Macaca mulatta: one gene and its partner. The protein of the gene in region 2 purifies or fractionates together with the protein of the main gene of each other region. This does not show direct contact. Links are inferred from orthologs where the notes say so. Each region holds a gene or a part of one and is shown on either strand. Other genes may lie near its edges.

What was found. The genes of interacting proteins can lie anywhere in the genome.
Region 1: the proteins of RAPGEF2 (region 2) and MAGI1 purify together in Homo sapiens (co-immunoprecipitation; 3 studies listed by BioGRID and IntAct, with this or other methods). This does not show direct contact. The link is inferred for Macaca mulatta from reciprocal best matches to the Homo sapiens genes RAPGEF2 and MAGI1.

The regions. Positions count from the first base shown.
Region 1 is NC_133407.1:128,979,950-128,986,383, reverse strand, and holds part of MAGI1 (membrane-associated guanylate kinase, WW and PDZ domain-containing protein 1), read left to right. Parts: intron 1-2,901; coding exon 2,902-3,084; intron 3,085-3,643; coding exon 3,644-4,264; intron 4,265-6,434. UniProt on the Homo sapiens protein: Plays a role in coupling actin fibers to cell junctions in endothelial cells, via its interaction with AMOTL2 and CDH5. May regulate acid-induced ASIC3 currents by modulating its expression at the cell surface.
Region 2 is NC_133410.1:167,885,342-167,891,775, reverse strand, and holds part of RAPGEF2 (rap guanine nucleotide exchange factor 2), read right to left. Parts: intron 5,623-6,434; coding exon 5,239-5,622; intron 4,292-5,238; coding exon 4,080-4,291; intron 3,990-4,079; coding exon 3,866-3,989; intron 3,235-3,865; coding exon 3,211-3,234; intron 2,160-3,210; coding exon 1,936-2,159; intron 491-1,935; coding exon 281-490; intron 1-280. UniProt on the Homo sapiens protein: Functions as a guanine nucleotide exchange factor (GEF), which activates Rap and Ras family of small GTPases by exchanging bound GDP for free GTP in a cAMP-dependent manner.

The DNA.
Region 1 (6,434 bases), on a different chromosome or scaffold from region 2:
TGCAGAGTTTCGGGGCAAGACCCAGAACATCCTGATCAGTGAGTCTAAGGAAGGAGCTGAAAATAGGTACATTTTAAAAAGCTACCCAGGTGATTTTCCCTAGGTAAGACACAACCAAGCCTTACCACTGGTGACTGGTAAACAGAGGTTAGGATATTAGAAAATTACATGTACCACAGGGCTGCAGCTGAGAGCTCCAAATTCCACTGCTTGTGGGGTGAAAAGCATTTCTTTCCAAAAGCTGCATTAACTAATGATCCACCCCTATGTAAAAAGGAATAAAATGTGCATAAATGTGAAACCCTCTGATCTTCCCTCCCTTGTTAAACATTGGAAAAGGAAGTCAGTTGTATAATTTCAAAGCTCTGCTCTTGTCTTTATTAAGTTAACATTCTCAGCACAAAATATGTTAATGTATTTTTTTTAATTAGATAAACTGCCAGGCACATTTTCACATTTTCTAACTTAGCCTATAATAAGAGTGAAAAGCTCCAACACCCAAACACCTCTTTTCAGCCTTCTCAAAGACATGTTAAATATCATTTCTATGTGCTTTTATTTGTTCATTCATTCACTCACTCAACAAACATTTTTGGAGCACGTAAAATGTACCAGACAATATTCTAGATACTGGATATAAATACAAAAATCCTCATAGAGCTAACATTCTAGTGGTTTTATGTACCTGCGTATCAATGCCCCTCATGCATGGGAGTGGGGGATAGTAAGAAAACCAAAACTGTAAGTAAGATGTATATTCTGTTGGAAGGCGGTAAATGCTAAGGACAAAACTAAAGCAGGGAAAAGGGATTGGGAATGTATGTTGGAGGTGCTGCAATTTTTAGCAAGGTGGTTAGGGAAGGTCTTGCTGCGAAAGTAATGGCTGTTGATGATGTCTCTGCGTAACTGAAATGTGTTTCCCTTCAGGGCGCCTGGAATGCCCTAGCAGCACCTGCTGCAAGAGTGTAGGCCACTCACCCTCCTCCCCCTAAAGTAAACTTTGGGGGTTATCTTACCTCACCTCGATTTCCATCTGATAATTATCTTGGCGGCTGTCTCCCCAAAGCTCTTAGTACAAGTGACACCACCCTCCCGATGCCTTAGCGGATGACTTTGCCTGGCGAATCCTTCTAAGTCCTGCCTTTCTTTAGCCACTGTGACAGGGCTGTAGTTTGTCAGGCTTCCAATAAGCTTTAGGACTGTGCTAGAGAGCAGGTTAGCGAAAGGACCTCCGATTGCCGGCCATTTAAAAGAGCCTTCTTTGCAGGAGCCAGAAACTTTTAAAATATGCAATTAAAAATTGTATGCATGCCCAGAGACCTTTTAAGCCCTTTTAGATATAACTAACCAAAAATAACTTCTTTCCTAGGTGCCAGGCTCCTAGTGAAGGGGTGTAGGGAACTAATTTCTCCCTCTTTCTCTCTCTCTTTTTGTTTTGGATAACATTTTTAATAGAAAAGAAACAGGGCAGATGGAGAAGCTATGTGTGGCAAGAACAGGGTATAAGAAGTAAGTACAGTTAGAAGAGATGAAAGAAGCTGCTCATGAAATTAGGTCTACTAGTTGGGATAATCAGAGAAGTTCCAATAAGTTTCTCGATTACAGAGAAGTGCCTAGTAAAACCCAAAAGAAAACGTTTTGGTTTATGTTCAAAATGTTATTTGTGAATGTATCAAGAAAACGTAATAAAACCTTAGGTAGCATGTTTGGGAGTAATTTAGCTATATCTCTATCTGTACATTTATTTTATTTTTATTTTTATTATTTTTTTGAGACAGAGTTTCACTCTTGTTGCCCAGGCTGGAGTGCAATGGCATGATCTCAGCTCACTGCAACCTCTACCTCCTGGGTTCAAGTGATTCTCCTGCCTCAGCTTCCCAAGTAGCTGGCATTACAGGCATCCGCCACCTCATCTGGCTAATATATATATATTTTTTCTTTTTCTTTTTCTTTTTTTTTAAAGTAGAAACAGGATTTCACCATGTTGGCCAGCTGGGTCTCGAACTCCTGACCTCAGTGGTCCACCTGACTCAGCCTCCCAAAGTACTAGGATTACAGGCATGAGCAACCACGCCCAGCCTAACTTATTTTAAATAAGACAGCTGTATTCGGAGCTGTATGGCTACTGTTAGTAACTACTTAGTTTAGGGATTTTTTTTTTTTGGTGGGGTTTCTTTGTTTTTTGGTTTGTGTTTTTTAAACAAATATCCTAAACTTGTTTTAAACAGTAAATCTTAGCCGTAGACATGTGTTGGCTATTTCATAAATTTAATAAAAGGTGCAAATAAATAGGAAAAATAGTTGAATTTGGAGTTCAATTCAAAGTGAATTGACCCTTAATTTTGAAAATAGTCATTCTACATTTTTGTCAAATTATTATTTGTGACTCTAATATGTTTTCTGGTATTATCTGTGCATTTTCAGCCTGGATTTTCTGTTTGATTAAAACTAAAGTTTTTGTTCAGTTGATTTTTCGAGTGGAAGCCAGGCCCAAAGCAGCACATCAGAAGCCATATAGCAAAATAAAATTAAAACAAAAGACATAAAACAGACCAGTTCCATTTCCATTTGTGAAGGGGTTTGTAGCAGCTCAGTTCCTGTCAAACTGCATGAATGGAAACCAAGAAGTATGTCACCTGACAGGGACTAGTTTCATCCCTCTCTTGTAGCTGCTTTTGGACCCTGGAGTTGACATACTCTGTGCTTTACCTCCTTCCATCAACACTGGGGCCTAGGAACATCCTTATTCCTCAGATTAAGAGAGGACTTTCTTAAGATGCTATGTGCCCAAAGGCTCTAGGGCATAAGCTTGAAGAATTATCTATATGTTGTCTCAAATCTTGTTAAATTCTCCTTTTCACCAATGGTGACATTCCTTATGCTTTTCTTATTTTAATCCAGGCAAACCCTTTTTTACACGAAATCCTTCTGAGTTGAAAGGCAAGTTCATTCACACAAAGCTGCGGAAAAGCAGTCGTGGCTTTGGCTTCACGGTGGTTGGAGGGGATGAACCTGATGAGTTTCTGCAGATCAAGAGTTTGGTCCTAGATGGTCCTGCTGCATTGGACGGCAAGATGGAAACAGGTAGCGTCCACATGGCCTTAGTGTGTTCTGTGTGGTGAGACTCCAACCCAGAACATAAAGATGTGCAATCATGACATTGTTTGGTTTGAGCAAGACCAGACAGCGTCATGATTGCACATGTTTATACCTTTAAACACCTTGAGAATGAGCCCGGTCTCCACATTATATAAATTCATCCCTTGGGGCAGATTGAAACCTGTGAAGTCATTTTAACTTTGGGAAACTGTGTGACTACAGTAAAGCAATAAGTTACTAAAAATGTAGATCCCCATTTAAATAAATGAATTCTAAACTTGGATTTCTGCAGTGAGATTTTTTTTTAGGAGAAAGCTCCAATGTTCTTTCAGGGATTATTATATTCTCATTAGCAGGGAAGATACTAGGTGCTGAAAGAACACTTTATTAGCTGTTAAAATCAGTAATAGAAGCAGTTCATGCCCTATAGTATCACACCCATGTGCAGTTTCAGTTCAGTTTCATATTAGTGGAATATATTATAATACTGATGGCAATTTTATGGGTGCTGTTTTCTTAACCCCCACACTCTTGCCTTCTACAGGGGATGTGATTGTCAGTGTGAATGACACCTGTGTTTTGGGACACACACATGCTCAAGTTGTGAAGATCTTCCAGTCCATCCCCATTGGTGCCAGCGTGGACCTTGAACTCTGCCGAGGTTATCCATTGCCTTTTGATCCAGATGACCCCAATACAAGTTTAGTGACCTCGGTAGCTATTTTGGATAAAGAACCAATTATTGTGAATGGGCAAGAGACCTATGATTCACCAGCTAGCCACAGTAGTAAAACAGGCAAAGTCAATGGTATGAAGGATGCCCGGCCAAGCAGCCCAGCGGACGTGACTTCAAATAGTTCGCATGGTTATCCTAATGACACTGTTTCTTTGGCTTCCTCCATAGCCACTCAGCCAGAACTCATAACTGTTCATATTGTCAAAGGGCCAATGGGCTTTGGTTTTACTATCGCAGACAGTCCTGGTGGGGGTGGCCAAAGAGTGAAACAGATTGTTGACAGCCCAAGGTGCCGAGGCCTGAAAGAAGGGGATCTCATAGTGGAAGTTAATAAGAAGAACGTGCAGGCCCTAACTCACAACCAAGTGGTGGATATGCTGGTTGAGTGTCCTAAGGGAAGTGAGGTCACATTGTTGGTGCAACGAGGAGGTAAGTAGGTTTGTTTTGTTCTTTGAATTTTTTTTTTAGTCCCAAATTCATTGCTTAACTTACTCATCTTCAGATGACCACTGGGGGCTTTTTAAATGTGTATTCCTTTAAGTTCGTTTTTATTTAAATGCTTCAAAATGCCTACTGATTTCTCCAAATACTAACCTCTTTCGCATAAAAATTATGGTTTATACATTATGGCAGACATATGCAGTTAGAGTGGTACTTTAAAACAGAAATCAGATTATGCCTTTTTAAAACGTTAAGATTTAAAAAACCTAACTTGGGTGTGGTGGTACCTACCTGTAGTCCTGGCTGCTTGAGAGGCTGAGATGGGAAGATCACTTGAGCCCAGGCATGTGAGTCCACACTGGGCAACATAGTAAGACCCCATTCTCTAAAAAGTGCTTTTTAAATAAAAAATAGTAATAATAGCCTGTATCCTTTAAGCCTCCTGAACTAGGCCTGCATAGCCTGCAAAATGTGGCTGTGATCACTCCTCGAAACTTGTCTCATGTTCCTCTCCTCCATCTGATGGTGCTTTATCCACACTGGCTGCTTATATGGAACTCCTTTAATGCTTCAAGCCTTTTCTTGCCTCAGGCCCTTTGTACTTACTGTCCCCTCTACCTGGAATGGTCCTTTCCCAGCTCTTCCCAGCTGGCTCAGTCTCATTTAGGTCTCCTTCTGAGAGAGGGCTTCTCCCATCACTTTTTCTAAAGTAGCTCCCAACACTTCCATATAATCTTGATCACATTTCTTCGTAACCTTGATCATCATCACCTTTTTAGCACAAGGCATTATTTCATGCTTTTATTTATTTTTTAGTGTTTGTCTTTCATGAGAATATAAATTTCCATAAAGCTAGGGCCCGTGTATGCATGTGGACAGCTGTTGTCCCCAGCATTTAACACAACACCTGACTCCTTTTAGGTATTTATGAATGAATAGGTATTAAGTGAATAGGTGTGTGATTATTTCTATTTGGCAGAAGCAAGAGGTCTGCTAATCATATTAAACACTTCCCTCAACATGCTCACATTTTAATGAAGTAGTTGAGGATCTCAGAGATCTGGGTTATTCTAAATCTTGAGGCATTAAACTTCCTCCTTTCTCCTTGAGTCCACATCCCACCCTCTGCTTCACCAGAAAACACAGGACCTCACACTGAGCAATATTTTCCACCATATTGAAATGCCTTGCTCTTGGAATACGTATATATATGTGATTAGTCGTGACTGATAGTTTCACACAGTGGGCCTGAGAATAGCTGTTTCCCTGATCCTTGTCACCATGATATGTTTCATGAACAGCATATTCAGGCCTTTTGAAAAGAAATCAAGAACCATACTTTTATTTCCTTTTGGTTTGTTGCAACTGAGGAGTTCATTTGTGTCACAGCAGCCCGATTCTCATGTTTTCGTGAATCTGTGTGTTCTGCGATCAGAATGGCTGGGGTCATTTGAAGGAAACCCAAAATACAGAGCACCTATCTACGTGAATTGAAATGCTCAATGAGCCTGGCTTAGACAGTTACAAAAGGCACTGTGCAAATTTTATTTTTCTAAATGTCGTTTCCACTAACTAATTTTCAAGTCTCTTCTTGTACCTAGATCACTTGACTGCCCAGAGAACTGGTTTTAAACAGTAGCCAAGATGTATGTAGTGGGAAATGACTTGGGTATAAGAACGATTATGACAATAATGATGATGGTGATGGTGAAACCTGGCACTTATAGAAGAATCAGTGATAGACAAAGCACTTTCATACCTGCACCTACCTCTCCTCTGATATTTGTCACTTTGCTGTGAAGTAGGAAGGTGCCACCCCACAGTAGTTCTGAGCTGTTCACCCTGGCTCTGTGGTTTCCAGTCCAATGTTCTGTCCCACTTAACTGAGTGACACTGATTTTTGTATAGTTGCTTAATACTGTGACTGACAACCTGGAAACTTTCAAATGGTTCTTGGTACATCAGGTGCACCTCTGTTTCAGCCACTGCTCATTTGACAGACACAAACCACCTTGTTCTCCAAACTCATCTATCTGCTTTCTCATTTCTGTTATTGATGTGTTAAGTTTATTATCTCTTTAGATTCACTTCTAAGGACACCAAACATAAAGTTTCATTATAGCCAACTAACTTACACACTTAATGAACCATATTGTAA
Region 2 (6,434 bases):
CTTCTGCACTCAGCAAAAATTAAATGGACACATAACTCTCTATTAACACCCTGTCGTAGCAAATTAGCGTGATTAAATGAGATATTACTTATAAAAACAACCCCTTCCATTGGCAAAGTCAGGTTTAACTTGCTCAATGTTCAGGTTTTATTAGGAGCTAATAATTAACATAGAAACTCAAATATATTAGACAAAGTTATCCAAGACAAATATTTTTTTCCTAATTTGCAAACCATGAGAGTGAATGGCACCAAAAAAAGAAACGAATGTAATCACTTACCAAAAGGTGGGAGATCCTTTACGGGCACTTTCTTCCGTGAAGGATAAAGGGACACGGCGGGAACCTGCAGTCCCTGGTTGATTTTATGTGCTGGTGGTGGCTGCTGCTGGGGCTGTGGCAGGGACTGAGCTTTCTGCTGTGACCCTGCCCTTGGAGCTACCGGAGAGGTCTCGGATTTGACAGGCTTTTTGTCACCAGGATTCTTAGGCACTGGTAATTGTTTGGGTTTGAAAATAGAACAAAGAATTTTAGATGCTAGTAGCTATGTAGAAGATAATTTTAGAACTGTGTGAGCATTTTCTGCAGTTAGAATACTAAAAGGCACACCTTTCGTCCTGCTGCCTTTATGAAGCACAGAAATGGATATGGGGGACCCTAGTTACAGAAAATATTAGGTATGTGGCAGGACAAAGGTATCTACTTTATGAAGTCAGCAATCTCAAAAGATGATTATACTATTAAACACCCCATTACAAATATAGAAAAATGTGGGTAGTTCAATATGTTATATCCATGTATATGAAAGACACAAATACATGATAAAAACTACAACAGACAAGTCATCAGACACTATTTTTCTAAAATGGTGTTCCAAATTGGTTGACAAGTATATGCACTAAGTTTTTATTTAATAAATGCTGCCAACTGCAATCTATTTACTACCACATTCCTAGGAGGTAGAATTATCTATGCAAGCAAACAGTAGCCAAAAATGCTTGAGTATTATACTGAGTATATATTTTGTGGTAGATAAATGGCAAAGCAATTTAGGACAATTAAATATTGTGCATGTAGTATCTTAATATGCAAAACTCAATGACATATGTATGCTTCCTCCCTTATACACACCTGGAAGCTAAGGATTAGGGAGGTCAAGTAACTTGCCTAAGGCTGCATTGCTAGTAAGAGGAGGCAAACAGGATTTGAACTCAGACCACTCTGACTCCAGAGGACAAGCTCTTCACCATGACACAGTGCTTCTACAGTGTCCTGGGTAAATCTAATAATCCAAATCTTCTCAAATCACCTATCTAAACTAAATCCTATAGCAGACATCTTCAAATCTGCACATAAAAGACACAGGAGTGTATTGAATGGAAAATGCCTTTGTCAAGATGCAGATTTAGCAAAAAAAAACTGCCCCATTTATAGACTAACCCGATTTTTAATGGCTATTGTAGTTCATTGTGGAGCAGAATTATTGCTCTAACTGGTAGGTGAATTTCTTGTTGGGTGTTGTCTGGGCTAGTGGTTAAAAGGCAGCCAGCACACTCAACTTTATGCCCCGACTCCCCTCAGGGTGCCCATAATTTGGGGGCACCTTTCTGAGAACACAAGACACATAATTGGGAGCCATATCTACATATGCGCCCCTTGCATGTGTACTGGCTGTGTCCAGGTGAAACTAAAGCAACGGGTTGCCCTAGATGTGGACAGTGTCATCCTCCACACACTAACCCAGCTGACCTGAGGGCCTGGCCGCGCACAGTGCTATCCAGTATTCAATATTAGCATTCAAGGGAAGGACTAGTATATCTCATGATTGCCAGCTCCCCCTCTGCACTAAGCCTTATTTTGTCACTGCCCATATCACTGTACAGGAAACAAATCTGCATTCTAGCCAAAGTCGGCAGCCACTTTAAGGAAAAACTCACATGTGTTGGTTGCTGGCTCACACTGCAGAGATAATGTCTGAAGACTCTCCTCGTCCATTTCTAGCTCCAAATTGGAAAGGTACTGCTTCACTTTTCGAGCCATTTGGGCATCTTCATAAAGCTTTTTGGCATTGAGAAAGGAACTACGACGTACCCGCTTTTTATGACCACCTGTCTGAGCAACATCTAGCACTGTTGCGTTTGTACTACCCTGGCTGAGAGACCTGGAAGATGAAAAGGTAGATATGCAGCTCACTCTAGCATGGGAGTACTTTATCTATTTAAAACGTGCCAAGACTGATATTAATATTCTATGTTCAAAAGGTCACATGCTTCATTCCAGTGAGTAAACTGTTACACAGGAATATAGAATAATATAGATTAAAAAAATTTAGTTAAAAGAAAATTATACATAATATACATATAAAAATATATGTTTGGCACCTGTTCAGTTCGAACTAGGAAATTCTACTTTTCACCTCTATAGAGCATTTAAGGCAGTTCTCTCACAGATGCCAGAAAATAATAATTACATATAAAAGCTCATGCAAGAATACACAGCTATAATCATTAAGATTTGCAACATTAAGATTACTTCCCCTAAAGAGGATATTATATATATATTTAAATAAAATTAACTACAATGTTCACAATTGTCTTCTTATTCCTTGAGTTGAATGTAGTGAGTTTTTAAAGTAATACGGTCAATCTGTTAATAAAACAATCATGCAAATGTAAACATGTATGTATGGAAACTATTGAGCACATGAATTGTTAAGAATTATTTTTAAAAAGGATTGGTTTATACAGAATGAAAATAGTAGTTAGTTGAGCTGTAAAAAATTTGGGTTTAACACCTGGGGGCACCTATTTTATATTAAAAATATTTATTTCTCACATATCTGTGAAATATTTTAATTGTACAATTTTTCCTTCTAATATCCTTCCTCCCCTCCCCCTACTTTGAGCTTTCCGCATTTCAAGACACACCAATTATATTAAAATAAAATCTTTCTAAGAGTTCAGAAAAACTGGCCTATAGTTCCCCAGAACAGTCATCAATCATTTCACAGCTCTCATGGATCATGACTTCAAAAGCAAAAGCCCCAACAGATTAAACTTGAAGTCAGTTTGCCGTCTGAAATTCTGCTACAGCAAGAGGGTTAAGGAAAAAAATGCAAAAATGCAAAGCATCAGAAAATACAGCAGGTAAGAAAACAATACAATGAGCAGAATAAGGACTGTGTGTGGGTATGCAAGGTCTCCACCACTTACCCCAAACTCCGCCATTTCTTCTTCCTGTAAGTGAGAGCCATGGAGATTGAAGCATGGGTGTAGAAAGAGAGACAGAAAGATCACAAGCTCAGAAAGAAAGGACTAGACTTCTGGATAAGCAGTTCTAGAAGCCCACAAACATTAAACTGCATAATCACCTCACACACGCAACTTTACTAGAAATATTTTTCTAGCTTAAAAGACAAATATATTTAAATTTTTTGTTCTAGAATTAAGACCGACTTTTCTCTCTTTCACTGAATTAATCACTTTTTACTACACTGCTAGCTAAATCTGTTGTGTGGATATTAAGACAAGACTATTTCGGATATTTACATATTTTAGTTCATACTACTAGTTATGAGTTTTAGCTCTACAAGTCAGTGTTCTGAGAAATAAGAAATACATAATTGTGACTATTACACTGAAAATATCTGAAGGACAAACTGTTTTTACTGACAGCCAAAAGAACACTTTATAAGGAATAAGACATTTATTCCAAATTAGAGCTCACAGGTGATTCTCAGCACATCCTACTATAATTTCTGCCGTAGGACAAATGTAAATACTCAAACTTTTAAAAAATCATTTATTGGGAAGCTCTAAATTTAACCTTCTCTACTCTCACACGTGGCACTGAAGATGACATACTCACCGAGTCCTGAACATGAGGGCTGGGTCCATGTTCACTGAAGCCATTCGGCCAACGTGACGAATTTCTTTTGCGATCATCCTTAACTTCTCAAAATTGACCAGCCCGTCTACTTTTGAGTCATTTCCTGAAATTGACAGAGAAGAAAAAGGAAATCACATGGCATTTATTCTGTGCTTCTCCAAGCAAAGATGGAAACCCTCTGCCTTATGTTTACCTTCGTGAAGGAAGGTGAGATCCTTCTTGATAACTGGAAACAGAGGGATTATGGGTGGTTGTAGGTTTTGACTATTGAGAACATTGCGATATTTCGCCATGTTTCTGGAAGGATCAAACAGGTCTTGGAGATCTTGAAATAGTTTTTCGTATTTATTGGGAAGTTTCTCCCAGGTTGTTCGCAGTCTTGCCACTGGTGCCAGGTTTAGGCCACTGAGAGGAGAAAAAGAAATGTGATATAACAACTAAAGTAAAATAGTGTACAGATTATTTATTGACACATAACACCTCCTTGTTTATGCTTTATATGCAAAACAATTTACAGAAGGCTGCATAAGAAACTGTTGATGATAATTCTGGGGAATGAGATGGCACAGGGAAGTAGGGTCAGGGTCAAGCCAAGGCGTTTTACTCTCCTCTTCCCTATAGACCCTCCTCATCTGTTTACTATCAGCAAAACCACCTGAATATAAGTATTGATGCTTTGTATCCATACATAGCAGTATGTATACATACCAGTGCTTAGCCCATAGCGGCCTTTTGATAAAACCGACTGAGCAAATATCCTCTAGTAATAAAATAAGCTATGATAGTAATGAGAGTATGACTAAACTCCCAGACAGAGAAAATGACTCATTTAATAATCACCCTCAATAGCAACATAACTAATTGTTGCCATTTTTTTTTTCTTCTAACCTCAATCTAAGCTCTTAAAAAAAGGGAAGAAAATTAACATTTCCTGGCCAACTGCTTTGTGCTATTTGATGGAACTCCGCATACATGATATCATTAATCTTGTTGATAACTCTTTGGGGTATTGTTATTTCCACAGAAAAGTAAACTGATATTGAGAAAAGTTGAAACAAACTTAAAAAAAAAAAAAGTGGGGGATATAGATTTTCGGAGCTCCAAATCAGAACTTCAGATGCTACCAAAATGTTTCCTGCCTAATGGCTTCTTCGAATCTCTTCAGGTTGGCACAGCTGGTTTTGTTGGTACGAGAGATTTTCAATTAAGGTTAGGATTCAGAGAAAAAGAATTGTCCCTTATGAGTCAATTAAAATCTACTGCATTTATACTAATTATACGATGTTCCTGGACTGATACATATTTTAAATCTGTGAACTGAACTGAATCTTAAGAAAAATGTGTTCTCTTACCTAATGATTGCAAACATTGAGTTAAAATTCTTGCATTCCCTACAGTGCAGTGCTATCTTGATGAAATGCTTAATGATCTTCATCCTCTTCAGCTGGTTTGTTTCTCTGAGAATTTCAGACGCTACCCAAAATGTTTCCTGGTTAATGACTTCTTCAAATCTCTTCAGGTTGGCACAGCTGGTTTTTGATCTGAGTTTAAATAAATCATCTATATATTCAGTAGGTTCAATGTTGCGAAAGAGTTCAAAATTTCGCATGGAGAGCTGTGTGGCAACTTCCACAGTGCTGAGCTGAAGGAGGGAAATTTGACTCTCTCTCAACAACTCCTGAGCATCTTCATCAGAACAAAGAGTTTCTGTTTCCATGTTGTTTTTCAGATAATACCTGTGAAAAACAGAAACATACCAGAGTCAAAGCCTATGCAGCAATCTCACGATATTCCTTGAAAGAATGCTACTTTTTACGGAAAGTTTGAGAGAACACCGATTTGAATGATGGAAGATTTCTTTTCAACCAAGACAGAGCGCAGCTGCTGTCTCAGGTACCAGGTCACAGAACTGCCTATCCAGAAGTAGGTGGTAGAAACAAACAAATCACATGGAATTTCACTTTTACTAGCTGGACTTTCTTTCTCTCCTTTCTTTTCCTGCTTTTGGAAGTATTTTACCCTTTTTGCTAAAAATAACAGAAAATAGCCACATTTTTAGTTTAAAAAGGAACTAGATCCTAAGGCAGGAAGCAGGAAAGATCAGACACAAGTAGATCATCATTATTATTTTCCCAATAATCTGTGATTATTGATGGGCCCAAATTGTAACAATCCAGGTTTACTTATTGATTCAAATACCTAAGAAACCCTAAGCTACTTGCCTCTATTTGATCCTATGAACAGAACAATCCTACAATAGGTTAACTTTAAAAAATCTGGATTTTCATAAAAACTCTGCAGGTAAGTGGATGGCAGGTATTATACTTATTTGTCAGAATAGGAAACAGGCTCCTAAAGTTTGACTAGTTAATGTCAGTGCAAAAATGAGAACACAGGGCTGGAGCTCCTTCTCCTTTTAGGTAATTTGTTGAAAATAGCATTAAGATGTTTGTTGTGTGTGTGTGTGTGTGTGTGTGTGTGTCTGTGGTATGGTGGTGGTGGTATTTTTTTGTTTTGTTTTTCTTTTTTAGACATATGCTTTCTCTGT